Linked DNA regions of Coturnix japonica. The protein of the gene in region 1 binds, or shares a complex with, the protein of each later gene. Links are inferred from orthologs where the notes say so. Each region holds a gene or a part of one and is shown on either strand. Other genes may lie near its edges.

Region 1 (6,747 bases):
CTCTACCTCAAGTCTTGTTCCAACCTGGAAACATCCAAATTTATTCTGAGGGCAAAAATATTTACTTAGTAAATCAAAAACAGAAAGTCCTCAAGAAAAAATCCAGCCCTTAGCTTCTGTTCCTCTAGATTCATTACACATCTTTATGCCACCCCTTTTGGCCAGCTTCAGCTAATTACTGAAGATAAAGCTCATAGTTGCAAATGACAGTGACAACCATATCAGAACTGCACAATGAAGAAAAGCTTTGCTTCCTTATTACATAGCTCCTCTTCTTTGTAGTGAGTAGATACTGTCACCTATTATATCAGTCTCTGAAGATGGACAGGTCCTTCCCTTTAGAAAATGACTATATATGCAAATATCACTAACAGTGTCTCCACTGCATCCCCTGGTGTAGATTAGAGCAGTATATTTGAGGTATAATCTATTCTATTTTTTTTTAATGAGTGCTTTCTCTCCTTTCTCTGATCTGCAACAGGAATGCAGAAAAATCAGGTTAGCCGCAATGGCAAAAAGACTTTCAGACTCCTCTAGTTGTGGCAGGTAAAACTCAAGGTAAATACAGAAGGTCAGCTGTATAGTCATGCTGAGCCAATGTCACAGCAGACTGTCAGAAGAACACGTTGATGCAGCAGACTTAAATTGGGATTCAACCCACCCACATTCAGGTCTCTTGCTGGAAAACTTAACCGAAAGCACAGCCATGAGAAGGGCCATGAAAGACTGCATGTTAAACTTATCTAACACTTATTTTTTTGCTACAACTCCTTACCTTTTTAACAGTGCATGCAAGCAAACCTGGAGATGGCTATTGGTAAGGAATACTGATAGTGTTCATGGTGGCTCAGACACAAGGACCAGTGCTAAGTTACAAGCATGAAGAAATGGTGCTTTTCTGAGAAATACAGAGTGAAGAACTGAGAAGAAACTATTTTATAAATATAAATATATTTATATATTTAAGAATCATAGAAAAAAACATAGTCATCTGTTTTGGACTGACAAGCAAAACCTTACTGAACTGTTGATAATGTTTAATTTTGCTTACAGGGCTTTCTGTCAGTTGATGCAAGTTATGCGTGACAAGCCAAACAGCACATCTGAGCAAATATGGTGAGAAAAAATTAGGAAAGAAATGTAATATCTTAACCTGAAATCTCTGAATCAAGTCAATATCCTCTCTATTAAAAAGATCTGCATAACATTATAATAAAAATCCCTGCCACAGAGTTGAACGTGCTGTACTTTGGAAATCTCTAATTGAAAAAGGTACAAGCAAACTGTGATAAAGCACATTAGAGAGAAGGCTTGAAAGAGCTTTACAGTAAATGGTACAATGGACATTCTCTAGTTTTTAAAATTAAGAACTATACATAATTTAAACTGAAGTATGTGGAAAAGTTCCAAATCAAAGATAAAGAAAATATCTGAAGATAAAGGGTTTTGATCAGTATCTTAGAAGTCACTGCTTTGTAATTTTATCCTTAAAGACCTCATGTTCTACCTTCCCCCTTTCAAGTCCCCAGCATAAAAAGAAAGGTTTCCTTTTTCTACTAGATTCTGTGAAAACTTGGTTCTTCAGCCATGTAACAATAATTTCTCTGTAAGTGAAAGTCTAGAGCAGCATGTTCTTTAATTCGGTGACGAGGACCTTCATTAGATTATCTCATAGCTATTGGGCAAGATACTGCAAAAGCCAAATGATATATCAGTAAATTATGTTTTCTTCCTCTTGAGGCAAAGAACGAGTATAGCGTTTGATTAATTTGAAGAACTGAAAAGAAATAAAAGGGCTCCATAATCTGTATCAGGAGTGACAAAGCTGACACTATTTTTAAAACCCACTTATTTATAGAATCAACTGTAAGCAGTTAATTATATTAATTGTGGAAATCGCCACTACATTACATAGCCCAAATTAATTCAGATCAGTGCATTCTTCACTGTTTCGTGTTCTCCCTTGCACATGCCTAGTGAAAGCCTGCCACTCTGCAACAGAGGAAGGAATTACTACAACAAAACTGAAGAGCACTTTGTTAAAAATTGTACTTTGTTGATATGACGCAGAAGCTGTTTAAAGTAATGGATTGATTCGTGTCCCAATATCTTTCAACAGTTATTCTAATTGTGTTTCACTGTATCTTCAGGCAGTTAGAAATACAAACCACAGGAAAGCTATCCTGAAATTGCACTGAAACAAATGACATTCCCTTCTGCCTTCTAACCCACAGGGAGCTCCGTCCAGTTACCGGAAAGGCTTACTTTATCTTTCTGCTATAAACTCGAGTTAGTTACTGGCAAGTCAACAGCTTTTAATCCAGTTAGCTTAGCATCTATGTAAAAACATCTGTTGCAGCCCATTAGAAGATCTGCTCCTGTCAGCAAAGCAATGTGCCTTAACCTGAAGAGCTCCAAGACTGCCCCCAAACATCTTTTGCTACAGATCTCTCTGATTAGAAAAAGAAATATCCCAAACTCCTCAGATGTTTCATGCATGCTGACATTTCTGCAAGAGCTTCTAAGACCACAACTTATTTCTACCCTGTGGGTGAGCTATTTCTCCAAGCCTGTACACACACCATATACCTCTGCTGAAACTACTGCGTTCAACTGGCGCTGCCAGAGCTCTTAGTGAAGTGTCAGAGCTGAACTATAAATCTGTATAACTGCTTTTATTCTGTGATACTCCTGTGTTCGAACAGAACGTGCATCAAGGTCACTGTACAGAATTGTAGTTTTCAGGCTCAGAAAGAAGATGCTAAAGAAATCAATACCAGCAAACTTAATTAAACGTAGTCTGAAGTTCTGTCTGCTCCCAAATTGGCACAGGAATCATTTCTCTATCCCCTGCATTCCACAGGCAGGTGCTTTGTAGATAGGGGAAAGCAGGTTGTTAGCTTAAACACTATCTGTGCTGAACAGTGAACAGGAGGGTTTGTCCTCTGCAGCGTGACAGGTCTGTTCAGAGCTCTTTGAGGTTTTAGCAGGAGATCACAGACTCCTGGGCCTGTTCCTGTGGAGTTCCTCCAGGAGCAGAATTAGCCCCCTGCCTGCTGCCCATGCTCTGCATCCTGAACATGTCACGGTCAACTTTCTGTTTCATGGCACTGCCAAGTACGATAATAGGTAGCCACGGGTGAAAGCAAGCAAACAAACAAGACCGAATAAACCATATCCTCACAGCAAAAGCACCTCAGAGGAAATGCCCAGGTAGGACACCAGAAAGTTAAAAGCATCAAAATCAAAACTCCAGCTTTGCTATCTTAATCCCTGACAGGATCTGAAACGCTCACACGCAGCCTGCCGCTGCCAGAAAGCAATTAAGAGTCTCCTACAATTGAGTTACAGCCCAGCAGAAAGGAAAAGGCATTTCACACTAATTCCTGTAAGTCACCATTTGTTGCAGCTGTAAGCGGGCTCCCCGCACCCAGTGCTCCCCCGGCACCGCGGTGCAGCGCGTACCTTTGGGATGCGGGACCGCGCTCCCCTGCAGCCCAGCCCAGCCTGCCGGGAGACTGAACTCCAAACCCGGTGCAGGCAACCAACAGCTGCAAGAAGTCACTCGAGATGCGGGGAGGAAAAAATATATATGCATATATATATTAAAATAAAAACATGAAAGAAAAGGAGCTCTTACTTGCCAGTACACGACCGCCGGGCGACCTCCTCTCAGCTGGTGAAACGGGGTGTCCCCGCTCGTCCTCCTCGGACCGCTCCGTGCTATTTCCAAAATATTTCCCCCGGGCGCCGGCACATCTCCGGGCTCACTAGGAGCGCGCAGGGAGCCCGTCCGCCGCGCCCCCGAGCCCGGTGCCCATGATGCCAGCCGCAGCCCCGGCCACTCGTGCTCCTTCCCTCCGGGGGCTAACACGGCATCACACCGATCTGCCGCCGCCGGCTTCAACTCCTCCGCTGCGCCGAGGGGCAACGAGGGGCTCCCCGCGCCCTTCCCGGAGACGGAGCGGGGCGCCGGGCGGGGGAGTACGGGGAGGCAGCGCCGCCCCTCCGCGGCGGCGAGCGGCCAGGCGAAGCGAAGCGAGGAGAGGAGAGGCGAGGCGGCGCGCCGCCGCCACCGCGGCCGCAGCCCGCCGCGGCGATGCCGGCCCCGCCCGGGACCCCCGCCCGCCGCTCCCGGGGCGCTCTGTGACGCCGCCCCACCGATGCTGACGTGCGGCCCTCCCCCGAGCCGTCCCCTGTGGCGGAGCTGGAGCTCGCCGGGACGCGTGGAAGCCGGGAGCAGTGTTCGGAGAAGGGATGCTGCCCTCCTCCCACCCGCTTCAAACTTCCCGTGCAGTTTCTACTGAGCGGGTACAGAGCGCCCGCTTGCCGGAGAGAAAACATATCGATCCCTATCTCAGTGTTGTGATGGGTTTATGATTCTCACAGAGTCTCTGTCGGCCCGGGTGCGACATCCCCGCTCATTGGAGTCAGCTCCCGGCCCCTGCTCGGGGCTCAACGCGGGGCGGCTGCCGCACACAGCGCCCCGTAGCGCAATGCTACCGCGGGGCGGAGGCGGCACAGAGCGGGGAAATAAACCTCGGGAGAGAAAAAAGGGAACCCCGGGGAGCCGCCTCTCTGCGCTGGCTGCGGGCGCGGGGGAGGAATCACGGTGCTGCCCCTCCCCGGCTTGGGGCTGAAGAGGTCGTCGGGGGGCTCTGCCAGGCGGGGTGGTGAGAGCAGCCGTGGCCTTATCCGCATCCACGTGTTGCGCTATAGCCGAGCGGAGGGTGGTCACAATCGGAAGCCGGGTGAACGGAGCTTAAGCGTTGTTCTCCCGCAGCTGCTCTGCTCGCCCTTTTAGTCTCCACATGTTTCTTAGGCTTTGTAATTCCTTTAGGAATCTTGTGCTCTTCTTCCACAGAGCTGGTGCAAACGAAAATGTTTGTGTTCCTTCTGAATCGCTTTTATAAATATTAACTTCAATAAAGTGCAGTGAGCCATTGAGAGGGAAAAGGATTTTAAAAGCTTCGTGAAAGCTACATGCAGATGCTCTGAAGAATGTAGTTAAGTGTTGACTTGATAAATGCATGAGAATATGCAGTGATAAGTTTCATGCCTAATTGAACAGATTTGTACTTCAGTTCTCATCTAGAGATACAGATCCTTATTTTTCTTCTTTTCTTAATACTGATTGATGTTAACAGAGTTCTTGATAGCTACGAGCTAACCAAGTTATCTGCCCTTTTGTGGCTCTGCTGAAAGATTGAGTGGTGTGAACTGACAGTTCTCCTGACAAGACTGGAAAGAAATGACTACAACAATACATATATTAGAGCTGGGATAATTTAAACACACGTCTGAGAATTGAAATAACTGAAATGTAATTGATTGAAAACTCTTCCATGTCAAACACGGAAATAGAACTGTAACCCTGTGCTCACACATTGTGGAGAAGATCAACGCAGCCCTTGAGAGCACAGTGTTTAAACCAAGTGGATACAAATAGTCCATTAACTGCTAGACCCAATCCCACACTTGATTTCCAATTCCTCTTTCTTGGAGACCCATCTCTTTTGTCTATGTCACAATGAAGAGTAAGTCTGTGTAAGCAAGAAAGATTCATTTTTACAAGAGAATGGTGTTAAAATTATCATGGCAAGATCTTTTAAACTCTTACCATGTTTATAGAGCACATAGTTACAATACAACTACTGCCAGTTACAACTTTTGTTAGAAGTCAGAATGTGCTGAAGATGAACTCTAACAAACCACACGAACATTGTAAAGTTGATGCCACATGATTGTATGAAATATGTCTGGCTGTCAGTTTTAAACAAGATTAGAAGGTTAGTTTTGTATTGCATTGTTGCTTCAGGCAGTGCAAACACAACGCGGAATTCTTACATCAGCAGAAATCATATTTCAGGACCAGAACATGACCGAACATTAAAAATCAGAGTGGGTGAGCCAGAATTGCTTTTGTGTTGTCTGTGCAATTTTCATTAAGAAATGTTGGATAACAAGCTAGTAGTGGGCTGCCATCTGTGGTAGGTTCTGCAGCATTAGCGGACTGACACCACAAATGTCACTAACGTGGATGGAGGGACAGAGGAGAAGAAGCGTTAAGAGGGAGTGAGGGTTAAACATAAAGAATAAATGGCATTGTTCAAAAAAAAAAAAAAAAAGAGAAAGAGAAAGAAAAAAAAGAAATGTCACCCAACAAGAAAGCAAATCATATCCTCTGTAAAATTACACAGACTATCTATCTATGAGAGACTGTTTGTCCTCTTTCCATTTAGCAACATTACAGCACCCAATCTTTCTGGCTAAAGTATACTTCACTTTGATTGTAGGCAGTGATTCTTACATTTACCCATCTGCACTGGTGCGTATGTCCATTCTACAGCACCCTCACCGGGGAAGATCTGGAATTCAAACAGGTGAAAACTGAGGCCTAGAAAAAGTGCACGGGGAAAAAACCTACTTTAGTAATGGAGAATTAAGATGAACATATAAGAAAAGATGTTGTAGAGGATTTGAAGAGTGATGGGAAAGCCCTTATATCCAAAATCACTGCAGCAGTTGGTTTTCACTCACATCTTAGAACAGCTGAACTCATCCCTGTTACCTATTCTTTCCTTGACAGAACCTAGTTCATTGCTAATTTGAAGTCATCAGCAATATCAAATACACTCTAGTCTGCAAATGAAGGCATGAAACCAGGCATGGTTGATCTTTGCTGACAAATACTCTTTTAGAATTATGAAGATTTATTTTTAACTCTTAGATAATAACAAGTCTTGT
Region 2 (6,193 bases), on another chromosome or scaffold:
GTATTTCAGAACCTGAAACGTTAAATAAATGCTGTTGGAGATCACAAACTTCTAATGAATAAATACAGTTTTCTTAATGTCTCGGGATTTTCTTTCAAAGAGATTTTTTTCTCTAAAGAAGGAGAGCACAATTTTCCAGGTGTTCGCATTTATAACTTAATCAATTACTCTCTAAATGATCGCATTGTCAGCTCATTACCACATACACACAGATGATCTATGATGGACAAATGCGACAGCAGCGTAACAGAGCAGCCCTGGAAAGTCTTCTAAAATGATCTGAAGATTTTGTATTGTCTAAGAGTAATATTTAATGAGTATTTAATATTCATTCATTTAATATTAATTTAATATGAATTCATCATTCATTAATTCATCATTTAACATTAATATTTAGTATTCTGAGTTTCTGTACAACAGAAAGGATTTGAAGGCTGCCTTTAATATCATGTGTATATTTTCTACAGAGGGGTATTCTTAGAGGAAAACCTTGGAGGGTAGAAGCAACACTGCTTTTGTTTTGAACCCAATTAGCTCAGTGGAAAACTGGTCTAATACTTGTATACAGTACAGCAAGCATGGAAAACAGCATTACAGAGCACTGACATCTGTGTACATGGTCAGTCTGGATGCTTTCCTGACACTTAAAGATACCACTGAAATAACACTCACCTCCAACTTCCCAGTTTTTGCAGCTAATTGTAGCGGTGTTAAACCCTCCTTGTTCTTCACTTTTTCCAAATTTCTGTCTTTACTTTTCAACAAGATCATATCGTACATCCTGATTACAAAGTCATTCTGAGTTTTAAAGTCCTCTGCAACAGTAACTAATGCGTGTAGGATGTTGTTTCCTCTGGAATCCTGAGAAGCAATGTTGGTCCTGGTGTTGTCCATTAACAGCTCGATTATATCTGGTTGATTGGTACACGCAGCTAAAGCCAGGGCAGTTTCACCTATAGAATTATAATATGAAATGTACTCACGTTTTACTACAAGCAATCAAACTATTATTATAGGAATGACCGTATTAAATATCTTCATATTTAAAAGCATGTATCAATATGGGTTATTTTTGGTTTAGCTCTTGGTTTAGAAAAGCCTTTAAAACAATTTGCCATTCAGCATTCAACAGCTGTTTTACCAGTACATCCAAGTGTTAATAATACATTGGACTCGAGCAAATCTCTTTACAAGAGGCACCGTGCCATTTTTCTGTCCTGAGATAAAAGTTCCATAATCGAGGTTCAGTGACAGCAATGATCCACACTTGCTTGCTTTCTATGCTGTCTTACTTTTCTGGGTATTCCTTCCTAACTGCTGCAGAAATCCCATTTCTACTTACCAAAATAAAAGCCTTCATGTTTATGTTTGGGGTTAAAAAAAATACCCTGGGCGTGAGCATTGACATCAGCTCCTTTTTCTATGAGGGTCTGAGTGATTTCAAATTGTCTTCTTTCAATGGCAATATTCAGAGCTGTCTGACCTGAAACAAGACACAGGTATTTAGCGTTAATTATTTGATGTTACCGATGGCATATTCAGCCACATGCCTGAAAATGGTCTCAGACAGCAGTACCTCTATATGCCTCTTCTGTGTACGCTGCATTGATAAACCTCTCCAAAATACCATTTTCTTCTGCAAAGGATAGCAGCATATTCACTACCTCATTTGTGTTGTTGTTTATGTTCAGTAGAGCTTTCATCAGACAAGTTTTCCCAGTATCTGAAGCTGTGAATTTTTTCATTAGATAATCTGTAAGAGTAAATGTTGGGATTAGATCACGGCATCCATCGTTATTTATTAAATGGATGGAAAATAGCTTGAATCTTTATTTGGAGAAGAACCTGAGGGATACACACCAACAGAAATTACTTGGTAAGCAGTTGCCCGTTCACTCTGTGTTTGAGCTATATGTACTTTGTGAGATGATACAGAGCTGTGCTGGTGGTTAGTAAGACAGCCAGTGTGTTTGCTTTCTTTTCCAGCTATTCCACCAGCACCGTAACTCCAGACAGATCCAAACGCTCTTTTCTTCCCTGCCTGCTCTGCCATGCTACACACCTCACAAACTGTGGCTGTACCACAACCAGACTGACTGCAGAATAAACAGACACATCAGCTTTGAGTCTCGTGCTGCAGAAGCCAGCTCAGGTATGGCTGTGGGAATACAGTGCACAGGGTAACATAAATAAGAGACAAATACCCCCCAGTGCTGCTTCAGAGGTAGCAAGGAAGCAGCTGATTAAATACACTTTCATTTAGAAATAAGAAACGACATCCATTTGACTGCAAACAAACGACTTCAGATTCACACACCAGTCACGGCTGCACTGAGGTATCTCCTGGCAGAACACACATGCAATGCCAGCAGAAGAGTCATCAGATAACTCCACAGCTCACCTGGCACAGTCATGCTTGTACAAACATTTGATCGCTCCTTCAGCTCTGCGAGCAGACCTTGCAATTCTTCAATATTCCCCTCAGAAACTGCCCGAAATATGTATTTTTTCAGCTTCTTCCGGGCTCTCGTCTGATCAGGTCCTTGTGCTGCGTTAGCACTGAATGATCAAAAACAATAATGAAATTGCTGAGTCGCTCTTCTTTATTTTCTGCATACGAGGAAAAGGAAACACAATAACATGCACCAGACCACACTGACTTGCCCCATTTCCACATGGGTGTCCCGGTATGGATCTCTCAATATGTTTCTGTACATTGCTTATTTGCTGAGAAAATGTTATTGAAAAAGCAAAGGTTACAGCTGCTTATTTCAAAGTTTAATTACTGAAGATCCAGAAAAGCATTTATACCTCATTTCTGGAAAGAAAAAGAAGAAAGCACAATTGGTAACATCTACACTATTGTAGATTTCAGCTGTAGAAAAGGCACTAAGAAATACTCCTCATCTCCACTCACCAACAACTGTCTACGTTAGGGCTGTATTCAGTCACGTCGTCCTGAAGAGACTGTGGGGAATCCATGTCTTCCCCATTTGCAGATGCACTGTAGGAATAAGAAAAGCATCACTGCTAAGACAGGAAGGTCCTGGAAGACATTGTGGCAAACTGCACTAAGAACCAGTCAGTGCCAGGATTGCCTGCTTCAAAGGAGAGGAAAATAGGAAGAGATGCACAGGATCTTATTATATTTACAAAGTCCTGTTTGTGTTTACTCTGCATTATTTCATTTGAAATCTTGAAGCTGCGGGATCTTTTTCTTCAGTGTTTACCACCTTTTGTGCAACATCTTCAGTGTTGCACCTTGAAATGCACCATCTTCCTCATGGACTTAATTTGTCCCCTACCACAAAGCAGGAGTTAAAGCAGTAATCCTGCACGGGTTGCACACAATGAATGTCATTTAAAGGTTTACTACATGATGCACTGCAGGCAACTCAAGAACATTCTGCAGCTGATTGGAATGGAGATTTCAGCTAAAAGAAACTAAAGCCTGGGCCCTATCTGCATATTTAGGTAATAAATTTAAAGGATTTCAGTGGCATTGGTATTATGGAATTTCTGTATGGCATTTCTAGACATTCCCAAGTACAGATCTCACAGCAGAATTGACCGACAGTCGTTTTTCTCACTTGTATTTTTGTTTTCTATGGGGTTTGGATTTGATGAACTCTCACAGGTCAATAAATTAGGGAGCCTGGATTCTGAGTTATTGGCAAGATGGATGTATGGACAGAATGCAAGGATTCAACATTGCTCTGCAGATATTTATTTGAAACAAAGCTGGAAGCTCAGGGTCCATTCTTATTCAGACCATCACTTCTCTGCAGAAAACCCAGTGACAAAGTGCATGTGCGGCTCATGCAGGTTTGTTCCTGAATGAGAAGGAAAAATTCGGGTACATTTCCTCTGATACAACAATAAAACCATCAACAATTGCAGGAAGCTGAGCAGTCACCTCTCAAACACAGAAACAATTGATAATTCTGAGCTTACTCTCCATTTGATTCATGTTTCCCTAATTCATAATTCTGGCATTCAGAACCATTTCATTTTTAAATATCTGGTGCATTCTACTCATCATTTTTCTCTACTCATTCAGCATAAATAACTGCCTTAAATATCTCAGACTCAATATCTACATGTTGTTCTGTTGTTAATGAACAGCAGAGCGAGGATGGCAGCACACAGAGCTGGGAACACGGCCTGCTAAATTCAACTGCTGTTTTTGCATCGGAAAATTGGGTGCGTGGAGTTTGTCCCCATCTATCACAAATAACAGATGCTTAGGAAAGAAAAGTTAGCATTGATTTTAAATGTATTCGTATTTGAGGCCTGATTTATTCAGTGTCAATGATAGAAGTATATACAGATAAATAACCCAGCAACAACTGAACTACAACAACAACAAATCTCTGTCCTTGAAGTGACCAAAATCTACATAAAACCATGTGAAATTTCAGCTCTAAGGAGGGAGAAGGAGCAGCTGCTGAGAATGAAATAGATACACTTGCAGAATGACTGTTGTACATGCATCAATAACTTACCATGGACGAATATTTGAATCCATTGGTTTGGAAAACACAGGGGGAGATGTATTATTTGGAGTCGCATTGCTTTCAAATCCTTCGATCTCCAGAAAAAAATGTGAACTGTTGAACATATTGCATTGAGAAGTTATTAGTAAAAAGATCAAATTCAACCATAAAGTGCAGAATTCTATACCTGTAAGTACCTGGAACAACACTGACAATATTTTCTGCCCTCATACCTGTCTAACAGAATGCTGGCTGCTTTTCCCTGGAAGGATCCCAGCCTCTGCCCTCAGTTGAAAACTTCCATGTTGGCAGATGGGCAAAAGATCCCGAGATATTTTTAGAGGGCACAACATCAGATCCTGACATGTCTGAACATCGACACCAGCAGCCCAGAAGGAGCCTCACTTCTGTGCCCACAGCTGAATGCAGCACCAGACACAGACGGATAAACATTCACACACACACACTTATGCTTCTTCATCTACTACCTTTAGTCCCTCTTTCTCCAGCCAGCAGCCATCACAGTAGATCACTCCAAACCCGTCAGCAGTGATAGACAGCAATCCAAGTGTTAATTTCACTCTGTGTAGCTGTTTAAACTCCACGACCTTTTAACATCTGAGATGTGTCAGCAGAGCATCCCTGCAATTACCTACACATGGGGTGCTCCTCAGAGTACAGGAAAAGTCTGGACAGAATGAGGATCACTGCCATCATTTCTGCCACACTCACAGCTGCTGTAAATCACTGTTGCTTCAATGGGATCTCAGCTTGGCAGAAAGACTATAGAGTGAAAATGCCCAGGATTCATGCTGCTTTCTGCATTCCCTGACTATAATGTGCAGGATCTGCCCCAACAGGAAAAAGCTGTTGGAGGCTACAGTGCATTTCCAGAAAGCCAGAAGTGCTGCTCTTCAGGCTCAGCTGGGCTGTCTCAGCTGCTCACACCAGGAGCGCTGTGCCGCAGGTTGGTATCTCTCCCAGCACTGTGTTCACAAGGAAGATTTTGGCATGCAGTAGTTGTACAGCAGCTATGAAGTGGTGCCTGTTTTGGAAACCAACATACCCACCCTATGCCAACATGTGGGTTATCTGGGGATACCACAAGGAGAATAAAAAGCAAGATCCACCAAGCAAAGCAAGTGGACAATTACCAAAAAATACCCAAGTGCTTACGTGGCCATGGTGCACACTGTCAGAAGCTCTGCCCACAGACATTATCAGGTTCTGACAATGCTGGCAGTGCTCCTCCCATCCTGTCTCTTGGTTTTCCTGTACACATATTGTTGGTACACTCAGACACCAGGGGCTTCAGGAATGGGAAGTAAATATATTTTCTTCAAGTATATACTGACAATACTTGTCAAAGTGAGAAATGCTACCCATGGAGCTGCACTGGATGCGCAGTGGCACCATACGCCAGAAGGAAAAGTTCTGAACCCACAGAAGTACAGCAGCTTAGAAACATGTAATTAATAGAACACGTTAAACCACTGCATTAAAATTCATGTGATCTTCGTTCCTTCTATTACAGGAATGTTGTTGGCCACACCCTGAGCTCTTGGTTGAGAGATGGCAAACCCCCAGGGTTACTGTTACTGATACCACAAAGCAGAATGGGAGTTAGGAGATTAAGTAATTAAGTGCAGTATTTGCCAGTATTTGTTTTAACTATAAAATCTTCCATGGAATCGCCC

What was found.
Region 2: the proteins of SNTG1 (region 1) and TRPV3 are in contact, whole or in part, in a crystal structure (PDB 7QQN), measured with the Homo sapiens proteins. The link is inferred for Coturnix japonica from reciprocal best matches to the Homo sapiens genes SNTG1 and TRPV3. Residues at the interface, in NP_001274742.1 of Homo sapiens: Arg62, Gly66, Gly67, Phe68, Gly69, Leu70, Ser71, Ile72, Lys73, Gly74, His78, Ser85, Lys86, His118, Glu119, Val122, Arg126; in NP_659505.1 of Homo sapiens: Pro786, Glu787, Thr788, Ser789, Val790.

Annotation. Positions count from the first base shown.
Region 1 is NC_029517.1:98,329,940-98,336,686, reverse strand, and holds the start of SNTG1 (gamma-1-syntrophin), read right to left. Parts: upstream 4,071-6,747; 5' UTR 3,641-4,070; intron 1-3,640. UniProt on the Homo sapiens protein: Adapter protein that binds to and probably organizes the subcellular localization of a variety of proteins. May link various receptors to the actin cytoskeleton and the dystrophin glycoprotein complex.
Region 2 is NC_029534.1:5,449,605-5,455,797, reverse strand, and holds part of TRPV3 (transient receptor potential cation channel subfamily V member 3), read right to left. Parts: exon of another isoform or gene 4,611-6,193; coding exon 4,506-4,610; intron 3,006-4,505; exon of another isoform or gene 3,005-3,005; coding exon 2,918-3,004; intron 2,819-2,917; exon of another isoform or gene 2,817-2,818; coding exon of another isoform or gene 2,812-2,816; intron 2,560-2,811; coding exon 2,402-2,559; intron 1,754-2,401; coding exon 1,577-1,753; intron 1,484-1,576; coding exon 1,343-1,483; intron 954-1,342; coding exon 673-953; intron 13-672; coding exon 1-12. UniProt on the Homo sapiens protein: Non-selective calcium permeant cation channel. It is activated by innocuous (warm) temperatures and shows an increased response at noxious temperatures greater than 39 degrees Celsius. Activation exhibits an outward rectification.